Linked DNA regions of Arabidopsis thaliana. The protein of the gene in region 1 purifies or fractionates together with the protein of each later gene. This does not show direct contact. Each region holds a gene or a part of one and is shown in the gene's direction. Other genes may lie near its edges.

The links.
Region 2: the proteins of AT5G48640 (region 1) and CDKE;1 purify together in Arabidopsis thaliana (affinity purification with western blotting, with the first as the bait; one study listed by BioGRID). This does not show direct contact.

The regions. Positions count from the first base shown.
Region 1 is NC_003076.8:19,722,875-19,727,385, reverse strand, and holds AT5G48640 (Cyclin family protein), read left to right. Parts: upstream 1-1,637; 5' UTR 1,638-1,744; coding exon 1,745-1,776; intron 1,777-1,892; coding exon 1,893-1,999; exon of another isoform or gene 2,000-2,149; coding exon 2,150-2,189; exon of another isoform or gene 2,190-2,356; coding exon 2,357-2,401; intron 2,402-2,595; coding exon 2,596-2,714; intron 2,715-2,822; coding exon 2,823-2,937; intron 2,938-3,190; coding exon 3,191-3,241; intron 3,242-3,360; coding exon 3,361-3,508; intron 3,509-3,628; coding exon 3,629-3,733; 3' UTR 3,734-3,982; downstream 3,983-4,511. Other genes in the region: AT5G48650 (Nuclear transport factor 2 (NTF2) family protein with RNA binding (RRM-RBD-RNP motifs) domain-containing protein), read right to left, coding at 63-107; AT5G48630 (Cyclin family protein), read left to right, coding at 4,267-4,414.
Region 2 is NC_003076.8:25,462,815-25,467,543, reverse strand, and holds CDKE;1 (cyclin-dependent kinase E;1), read left to right. Parts: upstream 1-1,621; 5' UTR 1,622-1,821; intron 1,822-2,381; 5' UTR 2,382-2,486; coding exon 2,487-3,899; 3' UTR 3,900-4,182; downstream 4,183-4,729. Other genes in the region: AT5G63620 (GroES-like zinc-binding alcohol dehydrogenase family protein), read left to right, coding at 1-62, 150-363, 457-598, 680-857, 980-1,164. UniProt on the Arabidopsis thaliana protein: Involved in cell differentiation. Required for the specification of stamen and carpel identities and for the proper termination of stem cells in the floral meristem.

The DNA.
Region 1 (4,511 bases):
ACAAAGAATCACAATTACAACTAGTAAAAAGGAGAAGAAACCCCATAATTGAAAAAACATACAGTAAGTGGGTCAACAACACGTTTGGTTGCAGCAGTAGAATCCATTGTATCGCCAACTTCCAGAGAATAAACAACACCTGTAATTCATAGAAGACTGTCAAAACTCAGAATCAATGTAAATCACAGAACAACCCAAGAATCATGTAAAAAACAGAAAATCTCTAAATCTCACACACAACTTTCCAAAATCGTTTCCGTAGAAAACGTAATTCATGAACTACACATAGTGACTCGATAAACACTTAACAAGCAAGAAAACGAACTAAGAGGCAACAACAAAATCAACTTCACAAAAGCAACCCAAAATCGTTTCATGAAATAAACACAGAAACAACTTCGAGAAAAGCACAAACTAGCTAAGAAACCAACGAAATCTACTTCACATTTCACTCCGAAACAGTGTAGATCACATTTTTCCGGCGAAATCGTGACATTAAACTGACGGAAGAGAAATAGTAGAAGAAGATTCACCTGAAATTAGTGAAATTGGAGCTTCGATTGAAGTCTGGGACCAACAATGGCGGGACCTAGGGTTTGATCGCTAGAAGGAAGGCCAAGTGTACGGAGAAAGCGAAAAGGCAACGGAAGAGGACTTTGTGGGGACTGTGAAGAAGATGTTTATATAGACGGGGAGAGAGTGTGTGTGTTGACGACTTTTTTATTGCCTTTTTGACTCTCACGTGTCAAACATGGTCCGTTGCACTTCCTCACCTTTCTTCAACAGATTTTATTCTCCACTAACTTTAATATTACTTACCTTTTATTAATGAGTACATTAGATTTTAACTTGGGTTAGCACATAATCCCAAAGAATTCTATAAGGTGAATTAGAGAATAATAACTCCTCTTGAATTGTTTTGATAGCGAAAAACCGGAATTAAATTTAGACACGGGATAATCGATACTCTTCTCGTGCGTTTTTTAGATTGTAGTCAACTTATTTGGCTTATTCCTTTGTCATGCGGTTTTTCTCGTGCGTTTTTAGATTGTAGTTTACCTATTTGGCTTGTACCAAATATTGAACGTGAGAAACATGTAGGGTGTTAATTTGAGTATGTATTAGTCTAAGTTTAGTTTGAATTTAGTATGTTTAAAGAAAAAAAGTTAGTTTTGATAAAGGAGTATGGGCTCAATAAAACAAATGAACATGTATATTAGGCAAACGAAAAATGTGTGGTGTTCTTCTGAAAATTCTTTTATGAACACCCAAACTTATGGTTAGAAGAAAATCACTGATCAAGCGTTTGAACAATACATGATACAAAAACTTGTGAGAGAAAAATATTCGGTGTGGCTGATGATATAAAGCTAGAATTTTTATAGCCTTAATCATGACGAAAAAAACCAAACTCAAATTTAATCCTTTTGAAACTGATTATACCTCGTCGAAATGATATATTCGGTCACTTCTTAGCTATTTATAAGATTTCAATTTTTATCATCTATATGTTCTGTTATTCAAAAAACAACGAACATGTTATATCAGAGTTAATACTTTCATTTGTTTGCCTATTGGGCCGATAATGGGCCGAGCCTTAAATTTAATTTCAGAAAAAAGCAACGATATGATAGATCATGAGACCACCAACCAAAGAGATTTGACAGATAACAGAAAAATGTTGAACTTATGAGCTAAAAAAGCTTCTCCTCCTTACCAAAGACTCGACGGTCTACCGGAAAAAATGGCTGCCAATTTCTGGAATTCATCTCACTAGTAAATGTTCTTTAAAACTTTACCCATCAAAATTCACTTCTTCTTCTCCTTCTAAGCAACTTCTAATTTCAATTTCTCGAATTTTTTTGTTTTGTTTTTGCGTTTGTACGAAACAGTAAACAGCTTTTGGATCCAGAAGAAGTCGACGTAGTTCATGATCTCGATAAAGAACGTGGAATCTCAATTGATGATTTTAAGCTCATCAAGTTCCATATGTCTAATCGTACGAAATCCTTTTTCTTCTTAATTCTTCGAATTCTCCTGCTTACTTAAGCAAATTTGTTGTCTCTGTTGCACTGGTTTGATTAGAGATTGATCAGAGAAGTTTTTTGAGTTTATGTCTCTTTGTTTCTTCATTTATTGTTGTTTTCAGATATTATGAAATTGGCTCAGCACATTAAAGTGAGGCAAAGGTTGGTTCTTTACAATTTGGGGGTCCAATTTTTGCTATATCAAAGAGATTCTACTGTTGCAGTACTTCCATTACTTTGTTTTGCTTCTGTAGATTTAACTAGCTCTAATATCTGGTGTAACCTGGACTTGTATATGAATCGTCGCCTTGGTTTTTCTACTTATGTAGGGTTGTAGCTACTGCAATTACGTATATGAGACGGGTTTATATCAGGTATGCAATGTATTTTTGATATGATCGTATACATCAATGTGCATCTTTGTGTATGTGAGGAATGAAATGAGTTAAATTCTTGTCATGCCAGTGTCTCTCTATGTTGCATCTCTGCTATCAAAAACGTTAACTGTGTTACGAAAGTTTTCAGTTTTGGTGTCTAATATCTTCCTTTTGTTACTATACTATCTCAGAAAGAGTATGGTAGAGTTTGAGCCTCGACTTGTTGCTCTTACGTGCTTGTACCTGGCATCTAAAGCTGAAGAAAGCATAGTGCAGGCCAGGAATCTTGTTTTTTACATCAAAAGATTGTGTAATATCTTCTTCTTCTGTTTTTTTATTTTTCAAATCATGAGAGTACCTCCCCTTCAATATGCTTTTTTTTGACATATCGACGACAACGGTTCTTATATCTTTGCAGATCCTGATGAGTACAACAAATATGAACTAAAGGATATATTAGGAATGGAGATGAAGGTGTTAGAAGCACTAGATTATTATCTGGTTGTGTTTCACCCTTACCGGTCATTATCGGAGTATGTCCACTCATCTCTCTTATCCGCTTTTCGGAAGCTTTGAACATGTTTGCCTTATTGTCTGTGGTTACAAACGGAGAAGTGTAAATGATGATACATGTAAAAACTTGCAGTCTTCCCATACAATGTTCTTGATGTTTCTCATTATATCAAAATTTTGGACCACCTTAATATTTCCTTGGTGAGAGTTTTGTGTGCCTTGATGGTCAGAAAATCAACACTCATTCTAATACTTCATTCTTTTGATTTCTAGGTTTTTGCAAGATGCTGCATTAAACGATGTAAATATGAACCAGATTACATGGTAAGTCCTTCTATATGAGATATATTGCATAGAACTCAATTCCTAGCTCCAACCTTAAAATCTAAGAGATCTCTGACCTGTATAAAAAGCATTTTGAAAACCTATTTTCCGTGTTTCAGGGGAATTGTTAATGATACTTATAAGATGGACCTCATTCTTGTACACCCTCCCTACCGCATAGCGCTAGCATGCATATACATAGCAAGTGTCCACAGAGAGAAAGATATCACTGCATGGTTTGAAGATCTTCATGAGGACATGAACTTGGTCAGTCATTCTTCTAAAAGTTATTCAATCATTAGTTAAAGCGAATAGCTATGATCTTTTGCGTGATTTTCGGTATTCTTTAGTGACTTTGAAAGCTCTACATGGGGCAATGGGTTGCAGGTAAAGAATATTGCCATGGAGATACTGGACTTCTATGAGAACTACAGAACAATCACAGAGGAAAAAGTGAATTCTGCCTTCAGCAAATTGGCTTTGAAGCTGTAGAGAATCACCTCCATCTCCAAGACTTATCGCACAGAAAAAAATGATTAGAGACTTCCACAATTGCCCATCCATCTAGCTTTGTGGCAAACATGTAACACTGTTATTACCAAACCTATTAATCTTAAAGTAAACATTATTGTTAATTGTTCATCATAATGGGTTTGTTTTCCCTTTTATTTTCTCCAAAACCTAAACCTCTCGTAGAAGCAAAAATGTGAAATAAAACAAAGGTCAAATTGATGAAGATGAGAAATATGAAAAAAAAAAAAAGATTTCATATAAGAATTTTAAAAACTTTTTTTGGTAAATAATTTTTTTTCTATCAAAAAAGATAAATACTGAATTATTACTTTTTTTGTTTTGTATTTTTCCTTGGTGGTCTTTATGCTCTCATTATCCACACCATAAAAATAAAAAGCTTGTATTTTTGAAGTTGAAGGATCAAAGAAGCTATGGCTTCCAATTTCTGGACTTCGACGCACTAGTAAGTTTCAATCAATGATTAAAGATCGTCTTTTTTTAATTCAATTTCCATGTTCCTGATTGATTCGTTTTGTGGGTTTTATTTTCACAGCAAAGAGCTTAAGGACCCAGAAGAGGTTAATGTTGTTCATCCTCTTGATGCTCAGAGAGGAATCTCTGTTGAAGATTTCAGACTCATTAAGCTTCATATGTCTAATTGTATGTTTTCATTGGATTTGATTACCTTGTTAATTAATTTCCAGATTGGATTTAACATCTCTAATGTCATGAATCATGTTTTTCGTGTTTTCCTTGT
Region 2 (4,729 bases), 5.7 Mb from region 1:
TTACAACAGAGCCAAGGGAACTCTTTACGATGGCGAAACTCGTCTCTTTTTGCGACATGATGGTAAATTTGAAGACTTTTTAAACATCAGGTGGCATATTAGGAGAACTGTGATTGTTTTACCTAATTACATTTCTTAATTTCTGGCAGATTCACCAGTGTATATGTATAGTATGGGAGGGATGGCTGAGTACTGTGTTACACCAGCTCATGGTTTAGCTCCTCTACCAGAGTCTTTGCCCTACTCTGAATCTGCCATTCTGGGATGTGCTGTTTTTACAGCATATGGTGCTATGGCTCATGCTGCTGAGATCCGTCCTGGAGATTCTATTGCAGTTATTGGAATTGGTGGTGTGGGCTCCAGGTATGTTAAATGTGTGGCATTTTCTTTTCTTTACCGGATTTGGGTTTTATTGCTTCTTGTATGACCATAACCATCTTTGAGTTGTTGCTTCAGTTGTTTGCAGATCGCAAGGGCTTTTGGAGCCTCGGATATCATTGCTGTGGATGTTCAGGATGATAAATTACAGAAGGCCAAGACACTTGGTGCTACTCATATTGTCAATGCTGCTAAAGAAGATGCTGTTGAAAGGATAAGAGTATGGTTGATTCAAGACCTCTTATTTGTGAAGATGAACCATTGATTGATATAAATATGAAAAACTGTTTCTTCTTCGTAGGAAATAACCGGTGGGATGGGTGTTGATGTTGCTGTTGAAGCCTTGGGAAAGCCTCAAACTTTCATGCAGTGCACACTAAGTGTGAAAGATGGTGGAAAAGCTGTGATGATTGGACTCTCACAAGCTGGTTCCGTTGGAGAAATTGACATAAATCGACTTGTTCGTAGAAAGGTTTGGGGTTCTTACTCTCTCTCTCTCGGCCTTGTTAGAAGAAAGTCTCTGGTACTGAGATTGTCTTTTAAGATCATGATATTGAATCTCTTTTTGTTCTGTTTTTCCAATTTTTTGTGAAGATAAAAGTTATAGGATCTTATGGAGGAAGAGCAAGACAGGATCTTCCTAAAGTAGTGAAATTGGCAGAGTCAGGGATTTTCAATCTCACAAACGCAGTCTCAAGTAAATACAAGTTTGAAGATGCAGGAAAAGCATTTCAAGATCTCAACGAAGGCAAAATCGTGAGCCGAGGTGTTGTTGAGATACTATAACCAATATAGCCTTTTGATTCTGGTTTGTGAATGACTGCTTCACACCTGTTTCACTGAGGTCTATTTTTAGTTGCTACAATCTTCAGACAAGGTCATTGTTAATCTGATATTTGTGTTTGTTTAGACAGTGAAAAGGAAAAAAAAAAACTGTAGTAACTGGACAAAATTTATAATTTTACTGTTTTTCATTTCTTTCCAACATTTATTGTTTTTCTATACTGTTAATATTTTTAATTTCTTCCCTCTTTTCACAATTTTCTACTTTCTAAGAATATTAATAACTGACATATATATAAAAAAACACAATTTATTTCTCTTTTGATAAAATTATCTATAAATCATTAAATCTTTGATGAGAAATATCCAATCTACTAATGTATATCGATGATTTAAATGAAATTACTTATTTGAACACAAAAATAAATGAATTTACTAATAAATAAATAGCGTAGTTGGAGCAAGTGGCTAAAAAAATTACAAATCTAGTTTCCATTCTCAGCGTCGGCTGCTTGGAACGTCACCGTTTTCTGGAAAACGCAATCTTCTCCCTTCCGTGACGTCTCACCGGAATTTTCTCGCTTTTGTCTACTCTCCTCCATCTCCGAGGTTCTCCAAGCTCAGCTCCTCTTCCCATCATTCATCCGACCGCCTTATCCGGTCAGATCCTTTACGTATTTCTATTTTCCTGATCGTCGATTTTTGAGAAATGTAAAAACAGATCGTATAAGGCCTCGAAGTTTTTAATTTGAAAGTGGTATCGAAATTTTTTGGTCTTTGATTAGGTTAGGGCACCGTAGCTCTGGGTATTGAATTTGTAGGGTTTTCCTCTGGTTATTGGTCTTTGGAGCTTGGTAATTTCTGCTGAATTGATTGATCCCTTTTCCATCTTTTGAAGTAAAGTCTCGAGCTTTCGTGTCTCGATGTAGATGAATTCTATTTTGAATATGAGATTTGATAAGACGTCAATTGCTGATAATTTGGAGTCTTTGTGTCTGAATTTGTTCATATGAAGTTTTCTGAGGGATGTGAATTTTATTGTCTGCTAATTTTGAAACGTTCCTTTTGGAATTTGGTTTGTGAGGAGTCCTAGATCTTTTTCTGTGAAGTTTCTTGCTTGTAAGTTTTCTGGATCACTTGATTGAGTCTAGAATCTAGATAGATTACATGTACGGTTTGATTCCTTTGGCTGATTTTCCAAAGTTTTGTTCAAATTTCAGGAGAACTACAAAGAGGAAACCAAGATTGTTTTGTTTTGTTAGACTCTACCCCTTTTCCGATTCACATGGTAAGGACATTGAGGTAGAGAATAATACTAAAAAGCAATGGGAGATGGGAGTTCCAGTAGATCCAACAGCTCAAACAGCACTAGTGAGAAACCAGAGTGGCTGCAACAGTACAATCTCGTTGGTAAGATTGGTGAAGGCACTTATGGTCTTGTTTTCTTGGCTAGAACCAAGACTCCGCCTAAAAGACCTATTGCTATCAAGAAGTTTAAGCAGTCCAAAGATGGAGATGGAGTTTCCCCGACTGCTATCCGCGAGATCATGTTGCTTAGAGAGATTTCCCATGAGAACGTCGTGAAGCTTGTGAATGTCCACATCAATTTTGCAGACATGTCTCTGTATCTTGCCTTTGATTATGCCGAGTACGATCTCTATGAAATCATCAGGCACCACAGAGACAAAGTCGGCCATTCGTTAAACACATACACAGTTAAGTCTTTGCTCTGGCAGCTTCTCAACGGATTGAACTATCTTCACAGTAATTGGATTATACACAGAGATTTGAAACCGTCGAATATCTTGGTTATGGGTGATGCAGAAGAGCACGGAATAGTGAAAATAGCTGATTTCGGGCTCGCAAGGATATATCAAGCTCCGTTGAAACCACTATCGGATAACGGAGTTGTGGTCACAATCTGGTACCGAGCACCAGAGCTGCTTCTTGGTTCGAAGCACTACACGAGCGCTGTTGATATGTGGGCAGTTGGGTGTATATTCGCGGAGTTACTAACTCTTAAACCGTTGTTTCAAGGAGCAGAAGCGAAATCGTCTCAAAACCCTTTCCAGTTAGATCAACTTGACAAGATATTCAAGATCTTAGGCCACCCGACGATGGATAAATGGCCAACACTAGTTAACCTTCCACACTGGCAAAATGATGTTCAACACATTCAAGCTCACAAATACGACAGTGTGGGTCTCCACAACGTGGTTCACCTGAATCAGAAAAGTCCTGCGTATGATCTGTTATCCAAAATGCTGGAATATGATCCTCTAAAGCGGATCACGGCTTCACAAGCACTAGAACACGAGTATTTCCGAATGGATCCTCTCCCAGGACGGAACGCATTTGTAGCCAGCCAACCGATGGAGAAGAATGTGAATTACCCAACTCGTCCAGTAGATACAAACACCGATTTCGAAGGCACGACAAGCATCAATCCGCCTCAAGCAGTAGCAGCAGGAAACGTAGCAGGGAACATGGCAGGAGCTCATGGAATGGGCAGTAGATCGATGCCAAGACCAATGGTTGCACATAACATGCAGAGGATGCAGCAATCTCAAGGCATGATGGCTTATAATTTCCCGGCACAGGCAGGGCTTAACCCGAGTGTTCCGCTGCAGCAGCAGCGCGGGATGGCTCAACCGCACCAGCAGCAACAGCTAAGAAGGAAAGATCCCGGAATGGGTATGTCAGGTTACGCACCTCCTAACAAATCCAGACGCCTCTAAAGGTAAAATCGAGATCATCAGTCTCGGGTTAGAATCTGTGTGTTTGCCGCAGAAGAAAGCGTTGCGATTTGCTTTATAGAGTAGAGTTAGATTGTAATGCAGCATGTGGAATGTTGCTATTCATATGGATGGATTGGATTCTCTGTAGTTTTTGTATAAACATCCTCTCAAGTATTTGTTAATTATATTAGATCATCATTTCTCTTAACATCATTTCTCAAAACGTAGTAAATAGGAGATTTGCCAAGTGAAAAATATATATAATGAGACAGTTATTATGAACACAATTTACAGTTATTATGAACACAATTTTGGTGATGTTTCTACTGTTTATGAAATTTGTTTTTTTTTTACCTGCCAGTCTTATCTATTTACCACCAACATACATTAGAATCTAATGTAATTACATCATCAATCATAGACCTAATGAATATTTAATACCACACAGTTTAAACATTGCTATTAAAGTTTGAAAAGATTATACTTTAGTAAAATAATGTTTTCAAACTTGTATTCAATTATACTACGTAAGCAGTGATCCAATTATTACGAACATAATACTTTTCCAAATCAAAATTTTGTTTTTGTTCACCTTACCATCAGTTTCATAATAGAAATATTATATATATACAACACAAACAAATGAATGAGAAATGTTTTTCTATTATTATGACTTTTATTTAAGATTCAAAAGAACGAAGAAGAGTTATATATATGCTTGTTTGTTTCAGGACAAATACAATAAATAAGTGGATAAGAAAACCACAAACCTTGAACTAGCCTGAAATGTGTGAACCAAGCTATACAAACTGTACGTGATTCTGCATCGT